Sus scrofa: one gene and its partners. The protein of the gene in region 3 interacts with the protein of the main gene of each other region in a biochemical or structural test. Links are inferred from orthologs where the notes say so. Each region holds a gene or a part of one and is shown on either strand. Other genes may lie near its edges. The genes, in order: RAPGEF5, RAPGEF2 and RAP1A.

Evidence for each region.
Region 1: of the proteins of RAP1A (region 3) and RAPGEF5, one has a biochemical effect on the other in vitro, tested with the Homo sapiens proteins (2 studies listed by BioGRID). The link is inferred for Sus scrofa from reciprocal best matches to the Homo sapiens genes RAP1A and RAPGEF5.
Region 2: the proteins of RAP1A (region 3) and RAPGEF2 form a complex in vitro, tested with the Homo sapiens proteins (2 studies listed by BioGRID and IntAct, with this or other methods). The link is inferred for Sus scrofa from reciprocal best matches to the Homo sapiens genes RAP1A and RAPGEF2.

What each region holds. Positions count from the first base shown.
Region 1 is NC_010451.4:90,982,472-90,992,544, forward strand, and holds part of RAPGEF5 (rap guanine nucleotide exchange factor 5), read right to left. Parts: intron 9,058-10,073; coding exon 8,935-9,057; intron 6,351-8,934; coding exon 6,172-6,350; intron 1-6,171. UniProt on the Homo sapiens protein: Guanine nucleotide exchange factor (GEF) for RAP1A, RAP2A and MRAS/M-Ras-GTP. Its association with MRAS inhibits Rap1 activation.
Region 2 is NC_010450.4:48,179,436-48,189,968, reverse strand, and holds the start of RAPGEF2 (rap guanine nucleotide exchange factor 2), read right to left. Parts: upstream 6,452-10,533; 5' UTR 6,075-6,451; coding exon 6,015-6,074; intron 1-6,014. UniProt on the Homo sapiens protein: Functions as a guanine nucleotide exchange factor (GEF), which activates Rap and Ras family of small GTPases by exchanging bound GDP for free GTP in a cAMP-dependent manner.
Region 3 is NC_010446.5:108,744,305-108,755,075, forward strand, and holds the start of RAP1A (ras-related protein Rap-1A), read right to left. Parts: upstream 6,649-10,771; 5' UTR 6,529-6,648; intron 6,458-6,528; exon of another isoform or gene 6,439-6,457; intron 5,735-6,438; exon of another isoform or gene 5,692-5,734; intron 1-5,691. UniProt on the Homo sapiens protein: Counteracts the mitogenic function of Ras, at least partly because it can interact with Ras GAPs and RAF in a competitive manner. Together with ITGB1BP1, regulates KRIT1 localization to microtubules and membranes.

The DNA of each region.
Region 1 (10,073 bases), on a different chromosome or scaffold from region 3:
GACTCTCCCAGGCCAGAGTTCAACTTCTAGGGCAGGGCTGTACCCATGGCCTGCCCCGTGGGAGGGGTGGGATCTCCTAGCACAAATGAAAGGATTCCAAACACTTCAGCTCATTACCTTTAGGAATAGATCAGTGTTCTTGGTACCCTCTGGACACTTCCAAAGATCCCTCCATTTAAAAAAAAAAAATCTATTTTTGGATTCATTTATAATTTCAACTGAAAACTCTTACATTCATGTTTTTTTTATATATTCCACACTCTCATTATAACCCTAGTATGTTGCCTTTCTTTTCATCTTGCACCCCTAAGCTCCCCCTTCCTTCACATTTAGACATATTTTCTTTGCTCTCAACAAAACAGTGTAGGAGAAAATGTCTCAATAAAAATGTACAAAGGAGAGACCCCAGCCATGATGACTAAGCAAAGTCCAGCCAACTGCCCCAACCACCCCTCTCCCACACATCTGCTTCTGTAAAGTTGTTTCCGCATCTACTACCTTGCCTGACGTCACTCTGGTCCGACTAGCCAAGCATGGACCTGGAAGAGGCAGCCCATAAAAGCCTTGTGAAACCCTTCTTCCGGGCTCAGACTCAGGAGAGTGATCTCCCCTGAGCCCGCCGGCATAATAAACCTGAGTTCTCCAACTCTCCGAGTGCTCGCTTGGTTTCTTGCCAGGTAAAAGAGCTGATACACTGCAGCCACAGAGCTGCTGGAGCTGGTACACTAAAGCCAAAAGGCTGTCGCTAGAGCTGGTACACTACAGCCACAGGGCTGTCACCAGAGCTGATGCACTGCGGCACAGGGCTGCTGGGTGGCTGCCGTAACAACGGCTACTATGTTATATATACCTTTAAAATATCACATATAAAGAAATAAATAGGAGTTCCCGTCGTGGTGCAGCGGAAACGAATCCAACTAGGAACCATGAGGTTGTGGGTTCAATCCCTGGCCTCACTCAAGTTGGTTAAGGATCTGGTGTTGCCATAACCTGTGGTGTAAGTTCCAGATGGGGCTCGGATCCTGCATTGCTGTGGCTGTGGTGTAGGATGGCAGCTATAGCGCTGATTGGACCCCAGCCTGGGAACCTCCATATGCTGCAGGTGTGGCCCTAAAAAGACAAATAAATAAATAAATAAATAAACAGGAGTTACTGTCATGGCTCAGTGGGAACAAATTTGGCTAGTGTCCATGAGGATGCGGTTCAACCCCTGGCCTCAGTGGGTTAAGGATTGGGCGCTGCTGCAAGCTGCAGTGTAGGGTACAGACATGGCTCAGATCTGGCATTGCTGTGGCTGGCAGCTATAGCTCTGATTCCACTGCAAGCCTGGCAACTTCCATATGCCACAGGTGTGATTCTAAAAAGACAAAAATAAATACATACATAAATAAAATATCACATATATTATGGGGACACTGTTCCATGTTTCTAATTTAAGGAAAAAAGGAAATAAAATGCAAAAAGGTCACATTGAGCTCCAGTCATTCTGCAAGGTTATCTGCTCTGCAGAATGTCAATCCTGCCCTTCAATTTAATCTATCAAAACTCCCCTAATTTTCGAAGCCAGACAGGAGGTGGGGGGAGCTTAGAATAGCAGAGGGAGGATGGACATCCAGGTCACCTGCAACAGCCTGTGAAGTCCAGACACTCCTTTATCTGGGACTTACTGGAAAATAGGCATGTCTTTAAAATTAAAAAAATTACCCTAACTTGATAAATATGAAAGTGATTAGCAGTAAGCTGGGTGCATAAAAAAGTACCTCGTGTGTGTTGCCTGAGCAGCCCTCAGATGTCATCTCTCCAACAATGTCTCAGATGGAATCTGGGGACAGCATACACACAATTCTGAATCTTGTTTTTATTTACATACTTTGTTATATATTATGGTTCCTTCACTGTTATCATTAATGGCTAAAGAACACTTCGTCAAAAACATATTTCATCATTTGTTTACTTATTCCATTATTGTTGACATTTAAATTATTTTCAACTCATTCCAACTCTAAACAGAATGCCACAATTGATATCTTTTGTGTATAAAACTTTTTACTGTCATTTTTAAAAATTAAGCTTGACTTCCAGTCTCTACATGATTGATCAAAAGCTATTATGACTTTACAGGTTTTCAACACATATTACAAACTTCTGTGCCCCCCTCCAAACTATACCAATTTCCAGTCACAGAGGTGTGTATATGAGCATTGAGTTCAGAACCAGGAAACTGGTTTGGGATCTGAGAGTGGTAATCTATAGAGCTGGCTGTGTCCTGGCTGGTCTTGTCTGAACTGGTCAGCTCCCAGAGCCAGCCTCGAGGACTGGACACTGCCCAGTACAGCTGTGCCTGGGCATCAGGCAGTGGGGGTCATGCTGGGGGACAGTCTGGAAATTCTATCCTCATTAACAGGAGAACCTGGAAAGGCACTGCTGCCTCCATACCTAGTGTCCCAAATATCAGGGTGAACCCAGTAATGCAAGCCCCTCACTGCTGAGCCTCCACTGGGCATGATCTGTCCCCTCATAATCTTCCTGTCCAGCTTTGGACTCAGCCTGTTAGGCAAGAGGACTTGAAACTCAGTCTGACTGGCCCCTTCATCTGGTTTCTACCAACTTTCTCCTGCGTGGACCCTGCTTTAAGATACTTCCTGGTCTATGATTTAGAAACCCACCTGTTTTAGAGAAACCCTGCCTAAAGGCATCCACACTGCAGCTCTGCTTCCCTTTTGCCACTCATTTCCCTCATTCCACCCTTTGTCCCATCATACCCTGGAAAGTTCACACAGGCCAGAACAGCCCTGAGTCAGCTCCATCTCTCTATGTGATGGCATGAAGTACCAGGCTCCTCTGCCAAGGCTCTGTCACCAGTGAGAACAGGCCTAGGCCATCCCTGGGCCAGAAGCATCTCCACCAGATGCTTTCCTTCACTCCCAGTCCTGCCTCCTAACTTCATGATGGAAGTCCCGCTGGGTCTGTCATTTCCCACTAGACATTTGTATATTCTGCCCATCACTCAAATGCATAAACTTTTGCAAAACTTTCAGGGGAAATGATTTTATTATTATTCATTATAAAAAGTTTATTCTCCTTCTTTGTATTCAAAATCACTTACTGACATGAAATTTTTTTTTTTTTTTTGGTCTTTTTTGCCTTTTCTAGGGCCGCTCCTGTGGCATATAGAGGTTCCCAGGCTAGGGGTCGAATTGGAGCTGGAGCCACTGGCCTATACCAGAGTCACAGCAACGCGGGATCCGAGCCGCATCTGCGATCTATACCACAGCTCACGGTAACACCAGATCCTTAACCCACTGAGCAAGGCCAGGGATCAAACCCAAAACCTCATGGTTCCTAGTTGGATTCGTTAACCACTGAGCCATGATGGGAACACCTGACATGAAATCTTAGATATAATTCCACCTTTTAAAATTTTTTTTTTTTTTTTTTTTTTGCTTTTTAGGGCCACACCCATGGCATATGGAAATTCCCAGACTAGGGGTCAAGTTGGAGCTGCAGCTGCTGACCTGCACCACAGCCGTAGCAACAGAGGATCTGACCTGAGTCTGCGACCTGCAGCACAGCTCATGGCAACACGGGATCCTTAACCCACAGAGCGAGGCCAGGGATCGAACCCGCATCCTCATGGATCTTAGTTGGATTCGTTTCTGTTGCACCACAATGGGAACTCCATAATTCCCATCTTTTGATGTTTTAGCTCCCCATAAACAATTTTCCTGGTTCAGATCTCTTTTTTGGTCATACTTAAGATTAAAAAAAATAATAACCCACATATAATTCCCTCTGTAAAAAGAAAAAATTAATATAGAAATGATTTCTCTATACGACAAATTGATGTAGTACAAATATGATTACCATTCCAGTCTGGAGTCTTCCTTTACCAAGGTCCATTCACTCCAAGATAAGAACAGACTATCTGACATTAACACATTCCAGATTAGCAAAGACTCCTTTGTCTGTGTGAAGATATAAAATCCACTCAATCCACAGAGGTGGGGGATGGGACCGGTAAGAAGGAAGGAAATAATGAATATGCAAATAGGATGCCTTAGGCAGGGAAGATGCTTCAGGATCATGGAAATCACTGTTTTTCCTGGGCTATTCCTACCAGTTTGATTATGAAGAATGTAACTTTTATGTTTCTGTTGGCATTCTACTCTACCTGCTAGGAATAGAGACCAGCTCAGCAAATAATCCAAGGGCATGAGGCCATGCACAGAAGACGTGACTATACATATTTCATTTCCCTGAGGATGGATATAATCTTACACTGGGAACTAAACTATGTGGTGTCATTTTAGTCCTTGGGATGTTAATGTCCCATTTCACCAAGTAAGGGGCCTTTATAAGAAAGTTTTTGAGGAGTTCCTGTTGTGGTGCAGCAGAAACGAATCCAACTAAGAACCATGAGGTTGCAGGTTCAATCCCTGGCCTCGCTCAGTGGGTTAAGGATCCAGCGTTTCCGTGGGCTGTGGTGTAGGCTGCAGACACGGCTGGGATCTGGCACTGCTGTGGCGGTGGTGTTGGCCAGAGGCTACAGCTCTGATTCGACCCCTAGCCTGGGAACCTCCATATGCCGCAGGTATGGCCCCAAAAAGACCAAAAAAAAAAAGAAAGAAAGAAAGTTTTTGATCCCAAAGAGCCTCACCCTTCACAGGCTATTATAGACAATGTACTGGTCAAATTAAAAAAAAAAAAAAAAAAAAAAGACTGTTTACTCTAGAAGAGTTCAAGACTGAGGTCTAGCTGTTACCTATCTCGCCTTCGATTCCCAGTCACATCAAACAGCAGGTCAGGCACTGCTATTCTCTCACCTAAGTCAACAGAACACCCTGCTTCTGGGGTCTCCTTGCCAACAATTCAGCCTGTGTGCTACTTCCAGATCAACCTTCCTGCAGAACAACTTGGATCATCTCCATCTCCTGCACAAAAACTTTTCAGAGAATCCTCACTGCCTTCTCAATTCAGTCCAAACTCCTCCATCTGAAATTCAACATCCTTAACAACTTTGTCAAAGCATCTTCCTTTTCAGATCGGTCTTCCACAACTGCATGACAAATGCCTTTCACTCTGGCCAAACTGGAAGGGGTTCCTTTCTCTGACCACCATCTCTCAGCCTCCAAGGAACTTCACTGCTTCTCTCCTCTGCTGAGTTTGACCTCTGTGGAGCGTGTGCTCTTTTGAATTCCTACCCAGAATTTAAAGATAGCTTCAAATGCGACTTTCTTCCAAAAATTTGTCTAATCCTCCTTTCCCATACCCTTGGCATATAAATTTCCCATCCCCTAAAGCCCCCAGAAGAATTTCATCTTATAAGAGGGCACCCCCTCCACGTCTATTTTGCAAATTAGCCATTTGAGTTATAGAAAGTGTCCCCCCCAGTAGACTGAGAAGTCCTTGAAGGCAGAGTAGGTTCACTCTTATTTCCCCACCCTGCCCTGGATAGATATGCAAATATAGTTAAATGATCAGAACATATTTCCTAAATATATTACACTGACATGTACTCAAAAATGCTTTGATTTAAAAAAAAAAAAAAAACTTAAAGAAAAAAGAAAAAAAATGGGAAGATCAGAAGGTAGAAGGAAGTGGGAAAGATTGAGATTCATGTTGTCTATTTCTGTTGGGAAGCTGTCCCAGGAGTAGTCTCAGGATAATAATCTGGTATTTTGAGAGATGCTCACAGGAAGTTACTAAAATGTCATTCAAACAACCTTCCTGAGTCACTGCTATTTACCAAGTTCAGTACCAGGCACCCCAGGCACAATGATCGATTAGAAATGGTCCCTGCCCTCTGGAAGCTAACACAGCCTAATGAAGGAATCCTACACAAAGAGTTAGGTTTAATCAATATAATAAAGAAATTTTTAAAAAAGGAAAAAAGCCTGTGTGCCTGATATGGGGAAGCTGGGGTAGGGAGCAGCTGATTCTGCGTTTGAAAGTCAAGGATGATTTTAGGAAGGAAGCAACATATGACTTAGGTCTTGAATGACAGCAATCTGCTAGATGGAAGTGGCCATTCTTGGCAGGGCCAACAACACATGTGCAGGCTTGGGTGATAGTGTGCAGGGGACAGGGAGAGCCAGTTATTGTCATAAGGGGAAAAAATGTACCCTCTCAAGGAGAGGAGAGGAATTGCATTTTTAACCACTAGAAACTCACTGAGCAGCAATTTTGATGAATTTTTTCACCAGCTGCACTCGCTTGCCTAGCTGGCTGCAGAGGAGAATCTCCGTGGCCACCCAGAGCTGGACTTCATTGCATCTCTGAAGCAGAAGGCTGAGGTTCACCGTGTGCTCCCCACTTCCTTGTCTGCTGAACGTGAAGTAGATCAGCTCTTGCTGAAAGACAGTGTATTCATGCCAGTGTTTATTTTTACAGCACAGAGTCAAGTTGATACAAAATTCAATACACTTTTTTTTTTTTTTGCTGTGCCCACAGCATATGGAAATATCCCGGCCAAGGATTGAACCCACCCCACAGCAGCAACCTGAGGTGCTGCAGAGACAACTGTGGATCCTTAACCCACTATGCCATAAGGGAACTCCTCAATCTATTTTTTGTCTTTTTAGGGCTGCACCTGTGGCATATGGAAGTTTCCAGGCTAAGGGTAGAATTGGAGCTGTGGCTGCAGGCCTACACCACAGCCACAGCAACATGGGATCTGAGATGCATCTACGACCTACGCCACAGCTCACGGCAACACCATATCCTTAACCAACTGAGCAAGGCAAGGATCGAACCTGCATCCTCATGGATACTAGTCAGGATTGTTACCACTGAGCCACGACGGGAACTCCCTCAATCCATCTTTAAGAGCTACTTTCAGTAACCCCTGTCATATCATAATAACAGTGTATTAAATTCAAGGCAATTTACCTTGACTTTTAGAAATTCCTCATGAAATAATGTTCTCGTAGAATCATTACATAAATGTAATTTTTTAGAATGCAAAGATGATGCTTTTCATGAAAATCTAAGACGTTCTAAAGTTTAGGTCAGGAGTTCCCATCGTGGCTCAGAAGAAACAAATGCGACTAGCATCCATGAGGACACAGGTTTGATCCCTGGCCTCGCTCAGTGGGTTAAGGATCCAGTGTTGCTTGCCATGAGCTATACGTGTAGGTCTCAGACCTGGCTTGGATCCCGTATTGCTGTGGCTACGGCATAGGCTGGCAGCTCTGATTCAACCCCTAGCCTGGGAATCTCCATATGCCACGGGTGCAGCCCTAAAAAGCAAAAATAAAATAAAATAAAATAGTTTAAGTCACGAGCTGAATCAAACCCCAACTCTCCAAACTTGTTATAGAGGCAACTTCAAGTGAAAAAGATTATCACTAGTATCCGTTAAGATGCACATTGGACCCTCACAGGTAGAGTTTCTAGACATGGGTTTTCACATTTCAGCATGAACCAGAATCACCTGGAGGCCTGTTAAATAAAGCACAGATTGCTGGAGTTCCTGCTGTGATTAAGAATCTGACTGCAGCAGTTCAAGTCGCTGTGGAAGTGCATGTTCAATCCCTAGCCTGGTGCAGTGGATTAAAGGATCTGGCATTGCTGCAGCTGAGGTGTAGGTCGCAGCTGTAGCTTGGATTCAATCCCTGGCCAAGGAACTTCCATATGCTGAGGGCGCAGCCATAAAAAAATTAAAAACAAAAACCACACAGATTGCTGGGCCCCATCCTCTAAATTTTCTGAGTCAACAGGTCTGCGGTCTGGCCAAAAATGTGCATTTCTAACAAGTTCCCAGGTGTCCTGCTGATGCAGATCTGGGTACCCACTCTGAGAACCACTGATATAAGACACTGTTAAATAACAGATAGAGAGTGAGATTAGGACAAGGAACAAAACTTACAAAATTGAGTTAGACCAGTAACTATTGATATGGATGGATCACATGTAAAGCAATGGAAGAAATTTGTTTCTAATTGGAGGGGAGTGCCTGTGTGTGTGTATGTGTGTATTTGCAGGAGTAATTCACATCCTTCCACGGCATAAGCATCCATGAGCAGGGGCACCCCACTCTACCAACATTTCCAAGTTTCAACTCATTCAGCTTGAATGAGTTCACGATTTACTCAAATTTAAATAATCATGTTGGAATGTTGTTGGCAAAAAATCATGATGATATTTAAAAGATGTTACAAAACGAAAATGAAGCTTGGGGGTCCCTACATTGGGCCCAAGTTCCTTCTTCAGAAGGAAAGGCCTTTTTGTATGAAATAGTTCACAAGAAAGCAAAGCAAATCAACAAACCGTATGTAGCAAGAGGTGCCTCATTTTTCATCTCCTGATTTCTGAGTCTTTCTACTGGCTATGTTTATTCATTGTCAGTACCATTTTGCTCCTCATCTATTGTTTAATAAATGTTTAAGCTGTTCTCAAGGGAGAGGGTGATGGACATACACATTTGAAATATATCTCAAAATTTTCAAGTACTTGAAGACTCACAATATATATAGTCTAAATTTATAGAATGTTCTTAGAAATGTGTGTGTAGGTGCATTTATAAATGTGATTCTTAAAGTACTGTAAAGCTCATAGAAAAAATAAAAAGCCAATATCAAAGGTATCAAATGTAAAATGTCTCTTAAATCCCATTAGAACTTTATATACGTAAGCATATATATGAATACATGTTTTCAAGCAAAAAAATATAGCATATTTATGCTACATTACACAAACATACAATTGTATTAAGTACAAATAAAGCCTGGTCCTGTATTCTGATTTTCCTAGGTTTGGGTCAGTCTTTCAATATATGTAAAGTCCCCAAATATTTCTGGGGGCCCTGGCATCCTAAAGCCTAACTATATCACTAGATGATGGATCTTCTTAAAACCTAGTCACACACAAATATTCTTCAAAAAGAATCCACAGTTAAAACAGCACTGGCACTTATTTTATCATTTCGAGTCTTACCTCGTGAATTGAATTAAAGAGGCTCCAATCAAAATTCATCAATTCCAGAGCGAGATCCCAAGTGTTCATTCCCAAAATCCTAATCGACCTTTGCTGTGACTCCTCACTGTCTGCGAACGGATTCTAAACCAGCAGAGAGAAGCAAAAGGATCCTCAGTAAAACCCCTACAAGTTGGGCACTGAAGTGGCTGGCTGCAGAAAGCCACTAGAAGCCCACATTAGAAAAGTCATCTTGTTTGAGTGCACTTCATATTTTCTCTGATCTGTTCACCTTCAATGAGTTACAGCCAATTTAGGAAACAGCCTTGGAAGCAAAAGAATGTGATGAATGATACTGCACTGTGGTGCCCCCCTCCGCCCCGCCCGAGAGAGAGAGAGAGAGAGAGAGAGAGAGAGAGAGAGAGAGAGAGAGAGACGTGCATGCACAAATCTGATTATAAAACACTGCCCCAGCCGACAGCATAATGAAAGCAAAAGCCCTGAAGTCACTTTGGCTTCTGGTAAGAATTAATGTGCCAGCAGGGCTAGTATAAAAACAAACAAAAGAAATGTCACGGTGCACTTCAATAAAGACAGACAAGGCTTTTACAGGAAATATGTTTAACGAGTCTCATCCCAGACATACACTGACAAATTTTATTAAAATGCTCATGGAAAGCAAATGAAAAAAAAAAATTAGACAGGAAATAAAATGAAAGTTACTTCATTTATATGGTGGACAATTATTTTAAAGTATCAGTTGCTTCCCTGCAGTAGCTGTGAGTTTGGTAATAAAAGTATTTCCTTAAAATCTGGCATAAAATTATTAAATGTCATCACAGCTTTAAATCTACTGCCATTGTTAAATGTTAAATTGATTAAAAATTATTTGGCATCTTTTCAAAATATGTGATATTTTCTAATTAAAATGGAAATTCTCGCATTTGAGGAGCTGGACCTGAATAGTTAATGTTAAAATAGTTAATGATTTGGAAAAAAAAAAAAAAGAGGGCTTTGCAAAAATAAATGTCAAAGCAGGATAGAGAAAATTTCAGATTCCAAATATTAATCTCTATTTTTGAACTGCAAAATAAATTATTGACATTTTCAAACTTTTACATTTACAAAAAGGTTTCCTAATTTAAAAAATGACTAAAGAC
Region 2 (10,533 bases), on a different chromosome or scaffold from region 3:
GAAGCACAGGAAAAAGAAGAAAACTGAACCATCACCCTTGGAAGGATTCTTAAACAGATGACTCGAATAAAATATTTTAAGAGGGTGGTCAAGCCTAAAATCAAGGAAATGGCCCAAAGAAATTTCAGGTTATCTCAGGATAGATAAACATACATGACAAATTTACAGAGTATTTTTTTCTGGTTTAAATTAAGTGTTTGAAACATAAAATATATTTTAAATGAAAAATAAGTATAATTCTAATCTTACTATGGTTAAACAGTTAAAGGAGAATAACTGACATAATAATAAGATGCATTTCAAGTTATTTTTTTCAATTGATCACTCTTTTCCACTAATCTTGATTTGATTTTTAAGTAGTCTATATTTAAATGGATCATTACTAAACAATATTTAAAACAAGGATGGGACGTATACTTCCCCTTTCGACTAAGTCAGGATTTTTCTTTAATATGTCCTACAATGAGATAGACCTTTTTTCAATCTTCTACAGATAAATAGTGTAGGCAATGCATTGGCAAGTTTCTAACATACATTTCTTAACTTCTAAAGGTGTCAAAAGATCTATTATTTGTTGCCAAGGTTTCTTGGCCTAAATCCAAGGCAAGATGACCTTGTTCTTGAATAAAACAATAAGATATTGCTTCCTCTCAGGCCTCTGTTAGCTAGCACAGTGGAAGAGAGATAAGTTTATTTCATCTCAGGAAATATATCTGTCATAATAGACAAAATAAAGATCAAATATAGAAAAGGTAGAGTCTTAACCCAAAAGAGGCGTAACAGCTAAAATTAACCTTGGTGCTATTTTCTATGCTGCTAAGGAAAATGTATCAATCTAATTATATTAAAAAGACACTCTTCCCAATGTTTACAGACCAGGTCAGATTGTCATGGTAGATTACAAGCAATTTCCTTAAAATTGAGTGTTAGTAAGCCTCTTCCGGTTAAAGACAGAAGGGGGTTGGGGTGGGAAAGAGGACCTTACACTTTTTGCTGGATCTTAAATTACAGCCATTCATTTGTGAGGAATCCTAACACCATCCTGTCTATCATCCGTATGGACCTACCCTCCCTAAGGTAATCCATTCCAACAAAGGTGACTTCATTATTTTTCCCCTTAACCTTCTAACCCCCCTCTACTTCTCCCTGCCTTGGTCCCTCACCTGTTATTTTTCCATCTTAGAAAAGCCTTCTCTAGTCTGTCCTCCTAACAGTTGATAAACAGTTTCGAATTCCAACCGCATCTTCACACCTGGTTTGAGGAAGGTGGAGAATCCCCTCAAGACACCATGTCCCATCTAACCATAAAGACCAAACCAATTGATGGCACCAACTTGAAGAATTAATAAAATGAAGGATTATGTGTTAGGTGTCACTAAATCATCATTCAGAAGAAACAGAGATGAATATAAGGAGATAGGGAGCAAATGAAAGTCAAGCCTGAGCACTGCAGGCTGAGAAATGGGAAAAGAAAATGAGCCCTTAATGTCTATGATCAGAGCATCTTGTTTTCATGGAAAAAAGCATAGCTGGAGAAGAAAAACTATGCTCCTAAATAAGAGATTGTATATTCCAGAGGGCCTCAATGACCAGTGGGAACTTGGACTCATAAAATGATGACGCTGATGCTTGGGGCTACAGCTAAGTCACAGCCAGGGTGGACCTGACAGAGGTGGTCATGAACCGAAGTTGGGTTCCAGGAAAGATGCAATCTTCCCTGAAGCAGAAACCGGGAGACAGGACAAAAAGGTGCAGTGCTTCAAGTGGCCCCTTAGGGCCCATTGGAAGTTGCAAAAGGTGCAGAAGATGAAGCATCAAGTTTGTGTTTAAAGAGGTAAATAAGCAACCATTAAAATGAGAAGGTAGGAGTTCCCTTCATGGCTCAGCAGTTAACAAACCTAACCAGGATCCATGAGGATGCAGGTCCAATCCCTGGCCTCGCTCGGTGAGCTGTGGTATAGTTCGCAGACACAGCTCAGATCCCATGTTGCTGCGGCTATAGCTCCAATTCAACCCCTAGCCTGGGAACTTCCACTTGCTGCAGGTGCAGCCCTAAAAAGAAAAAAAAAAGAGAGAGAGAGAAAGGAGGTATACAACAGGGTCATGCAGAGAAGTGTAGAGGGAGGAAGGAATTGGGCTAAACTGCATCTACTTCTGATCATCCCAACTCAAGCCTCAAGAAAATAAAGGAGAGAAGCATTACTGATCACATCTCTCAAATACTTTATGAAACTACTGTTGTGAAAGTTTTATAAAATAATTTTGAACATGATATTGGTGTGCTTTTGCATTAACTTGGAACATCACACACACACCAGGAAAAATAGGAAAAGCTGAGGAAAAGCAAGCATTTTTTTCAAGCCGTGTATTCTGACAGTATCAGCTCTGGTAACCATACAATCCACACACCTAATTTAGGCTTAATTTGGCCACATCAGGAGAAGCAGATGGTGGTTAAAGCAGAGCTATGAAATCAGACACACTTGGGTTCCAATGATGGCTCCACCACTTTCTAGTCCTTGGAAAAAAGGTATTTAATCTTGCTAAGCCTCATTTTCATCATTTCTAAAAAGGTGATAATAAATCTGTCTTTAGGGGCTTGTAATAATTAAGTCAGATAATATGGAATATAGCGCCAGTCGTCATCCAATAAGTGCTCAATAAATGACAGCTATGGATATTTATTCCTGCATTTAGGTGAGCATTTTCTTACATACACCACTTTTAAACATTATCATTTAATCATAACTGAAGTCTTATTTATTATTAGTATAGCACATGACACATATCAATAATTTCTATAAAAATGTGCAGCTGGAACATAGGCGATCAGTTTGATAGCATCTGGCTAATTTATTTTAAGTGATCCATTAAAAAAATTTACAAAGTTTCTAAGTTATCCTATAGCACACAATTTCCAAAAGCACACTCAAGGAACACTACTCCCATTGGTTAATTTGATAGGTGAGGAGTGGGTAAAACATGGAAAGGTTGGTAAAAGGAGCAACGACACTTTTCCTGTTATCCCAGATTCTACCAACTAAGCCTATGAAATTTTTCTCATGTAACACCTATTAACAGTTTATACAACAAGTGCTCCATAGTAGGCTGTCTGAAATGCAGTTCTATCATACATTTTTTAAATGTTAATAATCTCCTTTTATTGTCAAAATCCACAAAAGCAGAAGGCTCCTCTGATGACTAATAGAGTGCTAGATGGCAAGGAAAACGGAGCCCAGAGCTAGGGGCATTCTCGTCCTCACCTCAGTGTCAGCACCTGGCCACATGGACCAGAGGTTGGGACCAAAGGAGGTGAAATATAAGATGTTCTAGCTGAAAGGGTTCAAGGGATGGGATGTCATCATCCCCAAATCACTTTAGATGAAAAATTCAAAGGTGTTTCTCGCACACCTATTAAGTGCCAGCAGCTGAGATAATGCGTGTAAAACCTGAAAGCCCTAAAACCTGAAAGATTCTCCCTAGGTAGAAAAACTGGGTTGACTACTTGTGCCCAGGCATAGTTTTCTTTTTCAAAAATCCCCCAATTTAATGCTTTTGCTTTTTAGTATCTCACTCCCTTCTGTAGCCAAAGAAGCCAAATCACTTAAAAACTTCTTGAAGAAGCAAAAATGAAAGTATTTGTGAAATTACCAAATTTTACGCATTTAAAACTAGCTTTGACATTACCCTCATAAAACCTCATAGGTCAAAAGAGGGGCATCTCACTCATTATTGACAAGTATTTACTGAGTCATCTGTCCGGTGAGAGCCAGGGTCACTATTCCCCTATTCAATTCTTCACACATAATGAACATCGTAAAAGTCTGCTTCTTAAACAGCAAAACCTGGATCACCAGAGGACCCACCTAGATGTACCAGAGGTATGCAATATGCTGACAGCATCAACTGACAACTCTGCCTCACAGGATGGTCTGGGATGGCAAACTCCAGGACTTTAATTTGTAGCAAAAGTATCATGGAGAATACCACTGATGCGTCTTCTAGAAATGACTTGATTCAAAGTTATCTTATGGCTGGGGTTACTTCTATCATTGCATTACCCTCAAATTCAGCAAAGCATAAAATTGCCAGGAAACAAACATACTTATGGAATAGGCGCCTCTGGTATTAACAGACCCAAATGCTCATGTTTGTAAATCTAGCCATACTTTTCCCTCCCCATCAGAAAAAAGTCTTACCACTTTTCTTTTTGTTGCTGATTTTTTTTAAATTTTATTATATTTATAGTTGCACAACCATCATCACAACCTAATTCTAGAACATTAACAATTTTCCTGGGAGTTTCCATCTGGTGCAGTGGAAACGAATCTGACTAGGAACCATGAGGTTGCGGGTTCCATCCCTGGCCTTGCTCAGTGGGTTAAGGATCTGGCGTTGCCATGAGCTGTAGTATAGGTCACAGATGCGGCTGGGATCCTGCATTGCTGTGGCGTAAGCCGGCAGCTACAGCTCCCCCGATTAGACCCCTAGCCTGGGAACCTCCATATGCCATTGGTACAGCCGTAAAAAGACACACACACAAAAAAATTTTCCTGGTTCATTAAAATTATCCTATTAATTTAAATACCCCCTCCCCCATCTTGAGAAAGGATATATGAGAAAGAGGACTAAAGAGCCTGAGATTTGAACTTTGCTTCTAAGGCTCCTCAAGTGTTATTTAAGTAATAGGCTTCCTCACACCTGGAAAAATCATGAATACAGAGGAGCTTCACATCAAAGGGCCTGTTAATAAAACTGAACCATAAGGGAACTTCTCTATAACAACCTTTCTTATTAGTGAAATTAAGGATAAGGCTGGTCTTTTGGGGGATCTGATCCGAAGAGATTTAATTAGCAAGGTACCACCATTGCAAGGGGGTGGGGCTCTCAGCGCTGCCTCATATAACAGGCTTCTGACACAGCCAATGCCCTAGGATACATCCTGTGGTCTCTGGGAATGTGGAATGCTGCCTGAGAGTCACCTCATCTAAGAAAACCTCTCACATCCAGTTACTAATTTTGCTCATAAAGGTGAACAAAAGCAAATTATACCCATTAACCTAAGCATCTAAATATTCTAAGTCACGCCCTTCCGCCTATAAATTTTCAAAGCCTTGGCAACATGTCTCCATTTTTTAAGTTTAACATCTCAACCTTTTTAGAATATATAAAAGATAATTCCTACCCTCTAATATGATACTTGTCAGATGCCAGGATATAAAAACGGACATTTAAGAAATACTTTGATTTACTCCTATATAAGCTGCCTAAATGGATGCCTTTTCATTGGGGGGTTATATACAGCACATATGAATTAGTGTGACGGCAGAAAACTTCCAACATGGTGACATGAAAGCAGCATGGGAACGGGAGGGTCAGACTTGGAAGTAGCCATAAAAAAGTGTTTCTCACAAACTGCGGTTGCCGCCTATGGGATTTCAGCATGACAAACGCAGAGCTGACTCATGGGACCAATTATAAAGAAGCAACACCGTGGCACTGAAAAAAAATTCTGTGTTTTCATTATCTATTAATACATGTTAAGATGAGCACCCCTGATCGTTTTATTACCAAATCAATAACCAAAGCCCTCCTTCCCTCCCTCCAACCTATGTGTGAATTCCTTACTACAGACATCCATTCCTGATAACCTTTGCACGAGCTCTCATTAAGTTTGACTATAAACATATTTTTAAGAAACCATCTTGAGTACTCAGTTAAAGCTGAATGGTCAAGCTCTGATTTCTGATTACAAAAATCAGCTGTCCAATACTTCCAGTGCTCGTGATCGGGCTTTAAATGAACTGCTGCTCTTGGTTAAATTTTTTTTTTTTTTTAACATAGCCACAAAATTGGAAGAACAAGCCAGTTGTAACCTACCCTCCCTCCTCCAAGCATACTATTACCCCCTCTAAAGCACCTGCCTTCCCTGAAGAGCAGCAGCAATCATTCCCGTTTTAAAGCAGTTCTCTCTGACGTGCCATGGAAACACAAGCAGTCTCTGCGATACTTACTGGATGTTTCTCCTGCTGGCCCATAACTCCATGGTTAGCTGGCACTGCTAGTGGTTTCATAACGAAGGAACATAGGCTGGACTGAATTGACACATCATGGACCAATGTCTCATGGACGGCAAGTCACCCTTGACAGCATTGGATTAAAAGAAAAAAGAAACAGAGGAGGAAAAAAAAAAAAAAAAAAAAAAAAAAAAAGGAGAGCCAGCTGCAGCTTCAAGTGTCAGGACTGGTGACTGCAAACCCTCACACTTGTGGACCCGAAAAGGAATCTGAACAACCCTGCTCGTCTCCATTTTTATAGCACTGAAACCCTAACCATCTCAGGCTAGGGCGAGACAGAGGAAACCTTATACAGCTCCTGGTCTTCCCGGAGAACAAGATCATTTCTGAGACTGAAGAACAAGAGGCACAAGAAAAGGAGGAAAAAAAAAAAAAAAAAAAAAAAGCTAAAATGGCTGACTGCACACAGACTCCCCTCCAAAGGCTTCCTACAGAACGGTATTAGGGCGGTGGAGGGGCCCGTCCCCAGCACTCAGCCGAGCATTGTTAATACTCTTGTCTCATTTGCAGTCACACATAGGGACCCCTCTGACCAAGAGGAAAAAAAGGAGAAAGGAAGAGAGAGAGAAAGAATCAGGGCAGAGCGTGTGAATCGGGACCTCCTCCCTGGCTGCCAAGGATGCTGACGGAGCACGGCCAGTGATCCCTGTCCCGCTCCACTAACCAAGTTTGCACAATTAATCTCTGCGGCATGACACTGATGGACATTTAATCTAATGATGTCTGTCCCTCACACTCGGCACAAGCATGACTGCCAGCAAGAGTCACGAACAGAAACACAGCACATGTACACACACGTACACATACACACATACACTCAGAAGCATGAGTCTGAATGCAACACACCAATATAATTACATTATTGTGCTTACTTTGGAGGACCATGGCTGCAGGCAGTTGGCATAGCAACGCACAAGGAAAGCCATTTCCTGGGTAGAGAGAAAGCTTCCTTTTCTAAATAAAAAATTCCTCTTAGGAAACAGACGGCATTGCTGCTTCCTGCAGAAAGCAAGACACTGTGGTCTGTCTCTTACCCTGCAAGGCTCACACTCAATGCAGTTCTAGTGATGTAAGTGGATTTCTCTCTCACCCTCCCTCTCCCTATATACACTGAAATATTCAGCTCAAATGGTACACACATTCCTTAAGGCTCGCCCCCTCCTCTACTTAACCATTTCACTCATTAAGGTAGCAATGGACGATTCAGAAAAAGGAATGAGCGCTTGCCTGTATTTTATCAGCAGCTGTAGGTTAAGCAAGTCTCAGAGGGATGGAATCCATTGATTGCTGACTCCAAATAATATCACTGAAGACAGGGTGGGAAAACAGAGCAGGACTTACTTGAATAGCTTTGGACTAAAAATACGATTTTTCACCAAGGTGAAGATACAGGGATGGATGTGACCTCTTCCAGACCCTCAAAAAGCACATGCTACAGGAAACAAGTGTCCACCCCAAATTCACAAAATGCACATTTAACAAGCTCTGTATAAATTTAGAAGATGTGACTTTCACAAACACCCATACACACACAGCACCTTGCAAATAATATAAAACTAAACACACTCAGACTTTAAAAAAAAAAAAAATCAAAGTTCTTTTAGAGGTAGAAAGTTGAAATTTAATACAGGCGTGGTATTCTATCACAAACGTAATTTCACCCAGGTCAGTAGGTCATTTGAAAAGATAGCATTAGAGCTGACATTGTAACTTTGAAGCACTGGTCTGTTTCTCATGGTCTATTAATGGTATATAGAGTAGAAGGTAGATACGGAAAGTCCAGCAACTTGAGTAACAGACTTTAGGACTGAGGGCCCTTTCTGCCTTGTGCTTCTCATCCACTTGCCTGACATGGCACTCGCACTGATTATCCTCCTTCCTTTCCCCTCACATCTAAGAGCATCCATTCCCCTACATCATGATTTTGGATCCTTCTCCCCAATGTCCCTCTCATTGACTGCCTATGTTATCTATTTTCCAGTCCCCCAACCCCGGCCCCCCATATATTCAACTTCTTCCCCACAACTAGAGGTTCTTTGCATAGGCTTTTACTTATGTTCAGGTCTCTCCCATCTCAAAACAAAACATAAACCAGAAGCCTTCCCTGGATCATCGATTCTCCTGTGGCTACAGTCTAACCTCTTCCCTACTGCACAACCAAAGCTCTTAAGAATCACCTACTTTGGCTTCCATCATCCTCTATCCCACTGACTTCTCCAATGAAGGACCACTATGGTCCCATTATACAACTGACACTGACAAGTAACCCTTAATACCCTTCTCCATGTTCAATCCATCGCAGTATCCCGCGAGTTAAGTACTCTTCCTGTTCTAAAACTCAAATTTTTCTTCATCTCTGCTATCATGCATTCCAATCTTTTTTTTGGGGGGGGAGCTTCAAATCTCTAAAAGTCCCCTTAATGAACTGCCTGGATTCAGTTCTATCCTCATCCACTCAACCCAGTTTAACATACTGCTTCTGAGATCTTTCAGAAACTAAAATCTGGTCATTTCACTCTCATCTATGAAGCCACCACTTCAAATCCAGATACATCAATGGCTTCCCATTGCTCTCAGGACAAAGTCTGCAGACTGCACATGTCATCAAGACTCACTCCACATTCAGGCCTCCTGCTTCCTTGAAGAAGCAAGAGGATCTTTCCACATGTTATTTCCTCTGCCTCCAACTCTCCTCTCTTCCTTTCCTGACTGACTCTCCTCCACCCCTCAACACACACTGGTGAAATGCTCTCAAAGTGACCATGATATTGTGCATCTCTGTCATGCTTCAATTTTACATTCAATCATGAGAGTACCTGAGCAGTGAGTGTCTGCTCCCCCTGCTACAAAATGCGCTCCATGAGGGCTGGTGCCATGTCAGTCTGCATGCCAGTGGACTTGCAGCACCCTGTGTGCTACATGTGGCAGATACACACACTGTCTGAATGACCCACATCCCCAGTGACTGGGAGTGGACATTAGCAAAACCATATCTGATCTCGTAAACTAGTTCCTATCCAAATCCCAAATATGTTTCTATAACAGACAAACTAAGAATTTAAAAGTAAATGGTGACTGGGAATCTGGAGATGGCAGATGCAGGCTGTTGCCTTTGGAGTGGATAGGCAATGAGATGCTGCTGTATGGCACTGGGAATTATATCTAGTCACCTATGATGCAGCATGATGGAGGATAATGTGAGAAAAAGAATGTATGTTTGTATGTGTGACTGGGTCAATTTGCTGTACAGTGGAGAATTGACAGAACACTGTAAACCAGCTATAATGGAAAAAATAAAAAGCATTTAAAAAATAAAAAATCTAAAAAAGTGAAAGTGGATCTTTGACAAAGGAGAGAAGGCAATATAACAGAGCAAAAGACAGTCTCTTCAACACATGGTACTCAACAAATGGACATCCACATATAAGAGAATGAATCTAGGAGTGGACCATACGCCATTCACAAAAATTAACTCACAGTGGATCATAGATCTAAATGTAAAATGCAGTAACTATAAAACCTCTATAAGATAATATGAGAAAATGTAGATGACCTTGAGTATGGCAATGCCTTTTCAGATACAACACCAGAGACATGATACATGAAAAGAAGTAACAGATGAGCAGGACTTCACTAAAATTAAAAACTTCTGCTCTGTAAAAGGCAATCTGAAGAGAACTAGAAGACAAGCCACAGGCTGGGAAAGAATATTTGAAAAAGACATCTGATAAAGGACTCTTATCCAAACTACAAAAATGTTAAAACTCAACAGTAAGGCAAAACTTTATTAAAAAATGGGCCAAAAATCTTAATAAAAACCTCATCAAAGAAGACTTACAGATGGCAAATAATCATATGAAAAGATGCCCTACAGCATATGCCATGAGGGAAATGCAAATCCAAACAACAAGGTACCACTACACACCTATCAGGATGGTCAAAATTCAAAACACTGACACCACCAAATGCTGGTGAGGATATGGAGCAAGAGGAACTCTCATTCACTGGTGGTGGGAATGCAAAATGGTGCAGCCGCTTTGGAGGACAGTGCAGTGGGTTCTTGCAAAACTGAATACACTTCTACCTGGTGATTCACACACATTTTGATATATACCCAAAGCAGCCAAAAACTTATGTTCACCAAAAGACCTGCAAGTGGATATTTACAGGTTTTATTCATAATAGGCATAACTTGGAAATCACCAAGATGTCCTTCAGTATGTTAATCTATAAATAAACCATGGTATGTCAAGACTATGAAATATAATTTAGCACTAAAAAGACAACAGCTATCAAGCCATGAAAAGACACAGAGAAATCTTAAACGCATATCACCAACTGAAAGAAGTCAATCTCCAAAGGTTACATGCTGTATGATTCCAACTATATGACATTCTGGAAAAGGCAAAACTACAGAGACAGTAAAAGATCAGTGGTGGCTAGGGGTATGTGTGAG
Region 3 (10,771 bases):
TATATATGTGGCATATATGCAGAAAAGCAATTTAGAAAAAAAGATAAACAGAAGTAAAACAAGCAGTTGAGCAAGTAATTCTTATTTTACTATATTTTAAACAACCGAGAAAATGATTTTCTCTAATACTAAAAAGCTGTTAGAAAATAAGACTACAGAAATAGCTGTTGAGCAACTAAGACAGAATTAAAATATCCCATAGATTTTATTTAGAATATGAGTATAATTCTATTTTCACTCTACTATGAAAATACAACATTTATTTATAAAACACATGTCAGGTTCTGGCAAACAAAACAAATTACTAGACTATAAATTCCTTAAAGTAGAAACTACAGCCTCACATCTCAGTTTCCATCAAACAGTGGGATGTTTGGGTCATTCAAACATCTGTTCAATGACTGAATCTGAAATCTATTAATGAAATTATGCAATATTTTCACAACTACACAATGGAATTTAAAAGGTAATTCAAAAGACATCAATGGTTTGGGCTAGATACTGAAAACTACATGAGATCCAAAGATTAGTGTTAAATAGCTGCAAAAATAATTAAGTTATGTCTGCTTGCTTAATGTTCTATAATACAGCCAACTTGTCTAGAACAGAATGATCCTATTTATAAATGAATTTAAAAATATCATTGAAAATAGTGAATGAATTTACTCTCAGAATCACACATCTGACAAATCTGAAACACTCAGTCTGCAATAAGAAAGAATTCCTACCACTACTCAGAATCTCACAAGCTGCATTTGGGCTTTGTCCAAAAAAACAGTTGTACCCAGTTCTCTGTGTCTCTCTAACTTTACACTTTTGTTGCTGATAACTAAGCCACAGTTCTAGCCTAAGCAAAGTTATTTTTTACAACCAGAATAAGTGAGTATAACACAGCACTGCAAACAACCATGAATGTTATACACATATACTTGTGAATTCAAAGTGAGGCACCAAGTTTTAATTAATCCAAGTGTGTCTTTTATCAGTTATAATGTACAGTTTAATATAGTCTTATGAAATACGGCTTATTTAAATATATTCTGGGAGTTCCATCGTGGCTCTGTGGAAACGAATCTGACTAGCATCCATGAGGACGCAGGTTCAATCCCTGGCCTTGCTCACTGGGTTAAGGATCCGGCATTGATGTGAGTTGTGGTGTAGGCCATCGGCTACAGCTCCAATTTGACCCCTAGCCTGGGAACCCCCATGTGCCAGGAGTGTGGCCCTAAAAAAGTAAAATAAAATAAAAAATAAATATTTTCTGAAACCAAACAGAGAACTACATATTTAATTCCAAATTTGGTTAATCTTACCTTTCCACACTTTGAACCACTCTTTAGCAATATGAACTAAATAATTAGGCTGGAGATAGGAAACTATCTCTATCTGGGAAAACTAGATATGCAAAAAAAACTTCTTTTCCAGATTCATCTAACCTAAAGTAAGTCCAGAATCTTAAAACAAACAAAAAAAAAAGCCATTAGTCTAATGACTGACTGAAGTTAATTTCACAGTACATATTTAAACGTCCATGTCTATATTACATATTTCTGAAAGTTACAATAAAAAGATGATTTTTAGACCATCTGTAAAGGTACAATTTCTTGTTTCAACTCCACCTTAACCATCACACACAATTTCCTTTTTTTTAAATATTATGGCTACTCCTCTGGCATATGGAAGTTCCCAGGCCAGGGACTGAATCTGAGCCACAGCTGCAACCTACATCACAGCTGTGGCAACGCCAGGTCAATACACTGCACCAGGCCAGGGCTCAAACCTGTGCCTCTGCTGCGACCAGAGCTGCTGCAGCCAGATTCTTAACCCACTGCACCGCAGCAGGAACTCTACAATTTCCTTTTTTAATTGATGTATGCCTGTACCTTCTAGCTCTAAAAAGCCTATTTTCAAGAGGAAATGAGAGCATGGCTCAGTTCTCGAACTGCCTAATTGATCAAAACATCGTGATAAGCTAAATTTATAGGTTCAATACTAATCAAGATCATTTAACTTTAAAACAAACTGCCTTCCTAACTAGTCATCTCAAAACTAAGTGCAAAAGGAAATGGAGAGAGAGTATGTGAATCATTCATTGCATATTCATAACCATTATCACAAAAATTCAAAATGTAAATGGGCCAATATTTCTCTGTATATGAAAGACTGAAAAGCACATAAAAACTACCATGTGTAACCTCCAAATTCCACACACACACACAAATGGGGGGAAATGGCTGCTTCATCTGTCTCAGTAACGTAAGACAACTTAAAGGGCTTTATGCTTAACGTTAATCATTTCCATAAAATGTGAATTTGGCATTAAGTCATGCAGCAGTATAGATATCAGAATGAGCAGAAAATACTTGGCAATATACCATAACTCTTTTTTAAAACTGATGAGTTCAATTTGAAAGGAACACTGGTAGGAAGTCAGTTTACGTTTGCCATTTTAAACTCACCACAATATTAAGATATAAACGCTTTATACAAGATATTTTTATTGATGTTCTAAAATAGAAGAATTGTAGAACTGGGAGCTGAGAGGTTACGGGAGGTTCAATGAACATTTGCTGGGTCTCTAGCATGTGTCAGACGCAATGCTAGGTGCTTGCAGGTAACTCCAGGAGTTCAACTCCCTGACTTCATAGATGTTTCTGCTCATGCCAAATCAAGCCATTTAGATTTCGGACCCAGAAATGCTGAGCAATGCCCTCATGGTGGTATAACTCTATCAAAACAGACTGGCATCATCCCCTTTTATAATAGAAATAAAATTTCAAAGATGCAATGCTAGCCTTATTTAAGAGAAACAATAGTCTCTGTGTTTTGAATAACTTACAAAGAATTACAACAATTTAAAAATTCAACTGTGAGAGTCCTCAACTAAATACTAGTTGCATAATTTATTGCAAAGAACAAAACACAGGGCTGTCAGAGATGTAAGATTCTGAAGACATAAAAAACAGAAATTAAACAAATTGCAGATACCATTAAAAATAAGTAAGGAAAAAAAGAATTATCAATATGAAAAATTAGGTGCTTGATTGCAATGTCTATTTTATATAAAAGATCATCAACCATATACTAACAAAGTTCTGGAGTAACAGTAAACACTGGCAAAATCTGAAGTTGAATTTAACTATTAGACTACAAACTACGACAGAACGTAAAATTCCCTAAGTGAAGAAAACCCTGTCTAAGACAAATCTGTATCCCCAACAATTAGCACCCCCTTGTTAAATGTTAAAAAGGAAAGCTAAAACAAGAATTCACGTGAGTTACTGGAAAATTCAAACTACTACTACAACTACTACTACTACTACCACTACCCAAAGCAAGTAACACTGCATGAAACTTAAGATCAACAACTGTGGCTGTCACTTTAACTAGTACAACCCACTCTCTGTAGGAATAGATATACCAAGAAGACAAGCATATTTATATACTTTGATTCAACAGTGCTTCTTCTGGAAATCAATTCCAAGGAAATATTCAAAAAGAAAGAAAATGCTGCATACACAAAGTGTTCATTGTTATTTTCAATAGGGGGAAATATGCCCAACAGCAGGTAGATGGAATATTTTGCAACCACTGAAAAGGGTTTAAAATGAAGATTATTAACCTCCTATTTGGTCTTCCTGCTTCCACTCTTGCCCCATCCCCCAAGCTGATTTCCACACAGCAGCCGGAATGATGCCCATAAACGTTAAGTCAGAACAGGTCTCTCTTCTAGTGGTTTCCCATCTCATTCAAAGTAAAATCCAAAGTTCTGACCACGGCCTACAAAGCTGTACAGTGGCCTCGGCAACTTCTCCAAACCTCAAGCTCTCTCACTTTCCCTCTTGCTGACTGGCGGCCCAGGTGTTCTCCAAAACGCCAAGTACACTGAGTGGTCTTTGCACTTACAGCCCTCTGCCTGTAACCTTCTGCCCCAAGACAGCAAACATCTCTCACTTCCTTCAGGTCTGTGCTCCAGCCTCATGTCTTCCCTGACTGCCTTCTTTGCCACTGTTCCCCTCCATCCCCTCAACCTACTTTACTCTTCGGCACACCTCTTATCACCTGACTTATTCTACATTTATTTGGTTGTGGCCCATCTCTCCTAATTAGAATAAAGCTCTGTGACAGCATGGACTTTGTTTTATTCACATAATAGGCATTCAAAAAAGCACGTGTTAAATTAATATTGAATGTTGTTAACTACATGAAAAAACATGCACATAAACAAGCTTGGAAGAGAAGAGAAAAATCATCTGTCAACATTTTCAAGTGTGGATCATGTTGCTAAAAAGGAGTTTGTACAATAAAAATCATAAGTCGGTCATGATCATGATTTTAAGCTGCCAAAAGTGACTATAATAATTTCCTTCAAAGCCATTTGTTTAAAATTATTAGTAGTTCAAAAACTACTGGTAATAGTTATATTAATGAGAACTTTTCCCCATAAGATTGCAATACAAAATCACTCTTAAATCTTGTTCCCAAAGACCCAAATTTAGTCTATAAGGGTAGGTTTGTCATTCCTGAACTCAAACAGAAGATGAACAAAGGCTTTTGAACAGTTTTAATACGGAACTGAATACTCAGGGATTCCAGTTTACTTTTAAGACAACTACCCATGGTTGGCTTCAGAGGGTCCCTGAAACTGAATGCAAAATTTTGTGCAAAAATGCCTATTACCTCCTTCCTGAGGAGAGCATCTACACATTTCATTATATTCTCAAAGGTGTCAGTAGCCCAGAAAAGGTTAATAATTACTATTTTATATACTGGGAGCTAAAGGCCATATTCTAATTTGAGCTGCCTCTCAAAAGGATAGAAGATATGGAAATACCTAGACATATCTTTGTAATCATTCAATTCATTCAAGAAATATCAAGTGCCACAAAAACAAACAAACAAGAAAGACCAAGTGCCTAGCATGTGCCAGGCACTGTATGAACCTCAGTACCTTACACCTAATCACATTTTGTGGCACATAATTCAAAATACCGAGGAAACAAGATTTACTGAAACACCAGACTAAAAGAATTTCAATTAACGCAAATACAATTTCAAAACAGAAAGTAAGTGTTCAAGAAATCAAAATAAAGAAGCTCGAAACCTGATTTAGTGTCAATTATGTCAAAATAGTGCAGATTATCAATTACATCACAAGAGAAGAAAAACTACACACATGCATGCCCACCCCCACACTCTGACAGGAAACCAAAATAAAGTTTCCAAATCCTGTTTCCAGCAGCATCCCTTTAGAGACTGCCCTTCAGCATGCTTTTGAAGGTAGGAGCCCCACGTTAAAACTAAGAGCGGATACTTCACTCTTAACTGTGCTAAAAACAGAAAGAATTATCATCTCACACCCAGGAAGCAGAAAACTGTGGCCACCTGTACAGCTGTGACCCATTAACCTCCTGCCCTGTTATTCTCTTTCATTTCTTCTACCTTCCTCCCTTCGAAGCAGTGACAAAACCATTTTCCCTCCCCAAAAGGAATACATAACTCCTCGACGCTAGTTCTTTTTCCAAGAGGTCAAAAGGTCCCCTAAACTCTGGTTCTTAGCACCGTGAGCTGATTCCACTTTTCAGGCACAAGTGTCTTCCCCTCAAGTTCTCCCCACAGCAGTAAGTTACACAATTCAGCCGAAAACGCTGTCCTTAACTTCCTGAACCAGGGGGCAAAAGACACTCCTACCAGTCCCAGTTTGAAGGAAGACAAGAATCACACGGTGACCTCTGCACTAATAAAATTCAGGAAAGAAGCAGAGACCCAAGAAAAGCAACGCCCGAAAAGGCGAACACATGGCATGCCACGGAAGACGTTGGGCAAAGAGGGCGGGAAAGGGGCTGGGAAATGGAGTGGGGCGTAGAGATGTCAGCCCTGCGCACTGGGGGAATAAAGGAACGGGGGACCCCGAACCCTGACAAGTGAACACAGAGAGGACACTGCTCCGGTCTACCCTCACCTCTCCAGCAGACGAGGGAGGAACAGAAAATTCACCCAACCCTCCAACCCCCTCTGTGCTTGCCCCCCAAAGGGTGAGCTGGGTTTGAAGGAAGATCTGACCCTAGTCTGGGGACACGCAAGAAGAAAAAGGCAGCGATGTCCAATCTTCTACCTCCCTCGGGCAGTGAGGGGCGAGGGCACTGTGTCCGGGGAGATGGCGAGGGAAATAGGCTTGTGCCATGACACCTCGGGGAGTTGGAGGGTGGGGGACACAATGTCCTCTTTCTCTCCCACACCCGGCCCGGGCCCCTCCCGTCCCTCTCCCGCAGGCCCAGCCACAGTCCACCGGCTCGGTCCGCGGGCGTGGTTGGCTCTGGCCCCGGCGGCGGCGGCCGGGCCTCCCCAAGTCCTGGCCCCTCCCGCCGGCCAGGCCCCGGGCCGCCGCCCCGGACACCGAGGGAACGCAGAGGAGGAAGGGGGAGCCAGGGGACTGACCGGCAACAGGAGCCGCCTCAGCCCCGGCTCGGCCGACCCGCGCCCCCCGCTCCTTCTGAGGCCGGCTCCGGCTCCCCGCCCCTCACTCACCCCCCCGGTCCGGCGCCTCCTCCACCTCCTCCTCCTCCTCCTCCCTCCACTCGGCCGTGGCTCCTGCTCCGGCTCTGCGCGGCGACGGCGGCGGCAGCGGCCTCGAGAGCGGCGGCGGCGCCTCCAGAACGCGCACGCACGCAGCACGCAGGCCACGCCCCCAAGTCCCGCCCCGCCCCTCCGAGTCGGCGTCGGCAAGGTTTCGGCCCCGCCTTCCTTTTGGCGTTCCGGAGTCCGCTTAAAGGGGCCGCGCAGGAAGGGATGCGAGAGTTACGAACCGGGAGAGTTATGACCTGAGGAGAGGAGCGGGAGTTACGGTTTTGCCTTGGGCGGTTGGGTGCGGAAAGGAAATGAGGAATAGTCCGAAGATTCTGGAGTAATAGAATTTTGGACGGAATACAACCTTTTGATAAGTACTAATTGAACATCTCATATGTGACAGGCACAGGGAATAATGCCATTGGCAAGTAAAGGCCCTCGTAGAGCTTGCATTCTAGTGGGAGAGAGGAGACTGAAACAAACAAGTAGAACAAAAATTTCAGAAAGTGGAGTCCCCATCTTGGTTCAGGGAAACAAATCTGATTAGTAACGGTGAGGACGCAGGTTCGATCCCTGGCCTCGCTCAGTGGGTTAAGGATGCGGCATTGCCATGAGCTGAGCGGTAGGTCACAGACAAGGCTGGGATCTGGCATTGCTGTGGCTGTGGCATAGGCCAGCAGCTACAGCTCCAATTAGACCCCCAGCCTGGGAACTTCCATACGATGTATCTGCGGCTCTATAAAATCCAAAAACTAAAAAAAAAAAAAAAAAAAATCTCTTTTGGAGTTCCCGTCGTGGCGCAGTGGTTAACGAATCCGACTAGGAACCATGAGGTTGCGGGTTCGGTCCCTGGCCTTGCTAAGTGGGTTAAGGATCCGGTGTTGCCGTGACCTGTGGTGTAGGTTGCAGACACGGCTCGGATCCCACGTTGCGTGGCTCTGGCGTAGGCTGGTGGCTACAGCTCCGATTAGACCCCTAGCCTGGGAACCGCCATATGCCGCAGGAGCAGCCCAAGAAATGGCAAAAAAAAACCAAAAAAAAAAAAAAAAGTTCAGGAAGTGATAAGTGGTGTGAAGAAAAATAAAGCCAGGAATGGAGTGACTTTATAGATGGCCAGATATTGCCCCTCAGAGGAGACCTTTGAGCCCATAGTGTATGATATGAAGGAGTGGGCTTAGAAAATATGTGGGAGGGGAGAAGGCATAGGGGAGACCTTATAAGCTGAAAGAAAATCTCTGGCCTTAAGCTCAGAGTTGGGAACAGCCGAGCATGTAGCAAGAACAACAAATGGCCAGAATGGCTTGGGGTGATCAGCTAGCCAGAGAGTAGTAGTAGTTGGGCTGAGAGAGGTGCGGAAGAAGAGGTCAGGTCCAGTGGAGCCTCATGGGCTGTCACAAGAGCAGCAGAGAGCCATGGGAGGGTGAGCAGAGGAATGACCACATCTGATTCACAATTTTCAAAGTTACCATGGCTCATGTGTGTAAAATACACAACAGGGAAGCACAGATGTCAGCAGAGAGGCTGTTCATGGGAGCTTGGACGAGGTGTGTCTGAATGTATTCAGGTGCATTTTTGAATTGGAATCAATTTGGCAGAGAACGTGTCAAGGAACGAAAAGATCATGTTTGCTTCTTAGGTTCAGGCCTAAAGGATGCAGTAAAGGTGGTACTATTTAATGGGATGGGGAAGACTTAAAGAGGAGAAAATTTGGGGTGGGGAAAAATCAGGAATTCTGTTTTGTGTATGTTACATAAGGTGCATGTTCTACATCCAAGTGAAGATGTTGAGTAAACAATTGAATATGTAAGCCTGAGTATATGAATTTGGAAGTCATCAGTATGTAGATGCTTTTTCAGTCTTAAGTCTACATAAAATCACTTGGGAGGGAGACTAGCTAGAGCAGAGGACAAAGATGAACTCCAGCCTTTGGAGTTTCCATAGACATGGAGAAGCTACCAGGTAGGAGAAACACCAAGAAAGGGTGGAGGGTTGGAAGATAAGAGAATTGTTTCAGGAAGGTGGGAGCGATCAGTCTTATCAAATAATGCTGATGAGGGCTGAGAGTTTGAACTCTGCATTTGACCTGATGCAGGTTGCTGATGTCCTTGGCAAAAGCAGTTCCAATGGAGTCACTGGGGAGACAGTCTAATTAGGGTCTGTTAACAAGACAGGGGAGATGAAGAAGAGAAAGGGTTTATGGCAAGTCTAAACAGCTCTTCAGGAGCTTTGCTAAAAAGAACAACTGAAAAGGGGGCGTACTTGGGATTAAGGGCGGGTATCTCCTGTTAATACTGGTCTCTTGCTGGAATGACCCTTCACGGGGAATGATGGTGCCAAAGAGGAGAGAGCTAGAGAAAGCTTGTCCCCTGGTAGTTGAGAAGCAAAGGGACCTAGCGAAGAAGTGGAGGAGTCGGCCTTGGAAAGGAGCAAGGACAGTAGGTGCACTCACTGTTTTTGGAGAGGAGGCAAAGTCTGTGGGTGCAAATGCAGGCAGGTCAGGTAGTACACGCGGTGATGGCATGTTCAGGCCACTGCTGAGCAGAAGGAGGCAGGAAGGAACTGACATCCAGCCCCTGTTCTGCCAACTAAATTTTGAGGCCAAATCTACCTGGATGAAGGATTGTCTTTTCTAGTTGCTCCACCTGGAGAGGTGGTACCTTATAGCATATCCTCTGCATTGCCCATGTGTGCACACACACGCACACGCTCACTCACTCACTCACTCTGGGTGGGTGTTTTCCCAGTTTGCACCGAATACTCTTTGTGCTGACTGCCTCACTGGGTTTGATGAATTAGATCAGGGCTATGAGGTTTCCACTTTATTCTAAGCAATAGAAGGCTGTGAGTGGGGAAGGGCTGCTGGCTCTTTAAGGAGCTGGACTAAGGTGAGAAAGAATTCCCTGCAAAGTTGGAAGACTTACTAGAGAAATGTAGTATGAGCAAGGCTGAGAGCCTTCTAGAGCCGGTGGTCCTATGTTTAAAGTGAGATCCCCTCGTGGCACAGTGGTAAACGTAATCCGACTAGGAACCATGAGGTTGCGGATTCGATCCCTGGCCTCGCTCAGTGGGTTAAGGATTCGGTGTTGCAGTGAGCTGTGGTGTAGGTTGCAGATGAGTCTCGGGTCCCAAGTTGCTGTGGCTCTGGCGTAGTCCAGTGGCTACAGCTCCGATTAGACCCCTAGCCTGGGAACCTCCCTATGCCTTGGGTGCGGCCCTAAAATGACAAAAGACCAAAAAAAAAAAAAACAAAAAAAAACAAAAAAATTAATCTGTTCAGAAGTTCGAAAGAGGAGTAGTTGAAATTTAAAAAAATAAATAAAAAATAAAAAAATAAAGTGAGACCCCTCAATGAGGCTGTGCGACTTTTCTGCAGCCACAAGCCAATGGCTGGGTTTTGTTGGGGAAAGTCAGGAGACAGGGAGGGGTCTAAGCCAGGGAATGGTTATGGGGTAGACCTTAGAATCTAAGCTGGGAGTGGAGAGAGGGCAAGTGAAAAAGCCGTGGGGTTAATGGTTTGGTGGTCCCAGGAAGCGGGGAGCGGTGGGGGTGGGGAAGGCTAGTTCTAGAGGAAGCAGTCACATAAGGGGGCCAAGGGGACTTTCCAAGGATGGAGCAGGGGGAAGGCGGGTGAGGCGGTTGGGAAAGAGGAAGCAAGGGTAGCTGTGAGAAAAGAGGGTCCAGGCTGGCATCTTAGAGTTGAGGAAACAGCAAGCCCACAGCTCCTGCCTTGTCACCGTCCTTGGGAGCCACCTGAGATGGAGGGAGCTGCCTAAGCCGGGGAGAAACTGAGCACAGGAGGGGATAAACGAACTTGATACTGAGGGGGTGGGTGGGGGAGGTTGGAGGGCAAGGGATGGTGTGTCTTCATAAGTCCTGGGAGAGCCCACTCATGCTTTGCTTTACTCACCTGAGCATCTGTGCAGATACTTTGTCCCTCCTGGGGTTTGACAGAAAGTAAGGGATATAATTCCTCCTCCATCCAGCGTCTCCTCCTCCTGGTTTCTCCTTTCCTGCACCCGGCACTATCTTTTTTTCCTTTTATTGTTTTTAGGGTTGTACCCGCGGCATATGGGAGTTCCCAGGCTAGGGGTCAAATCAGAGCTACGGCTGCTGGGCTATATCACAGCCACAGCAACGCTGGATCTGAGCCATGTCTGTGACCTACACCACAGCTCACGGCAACGCCAGATCCTTAACCCACTGA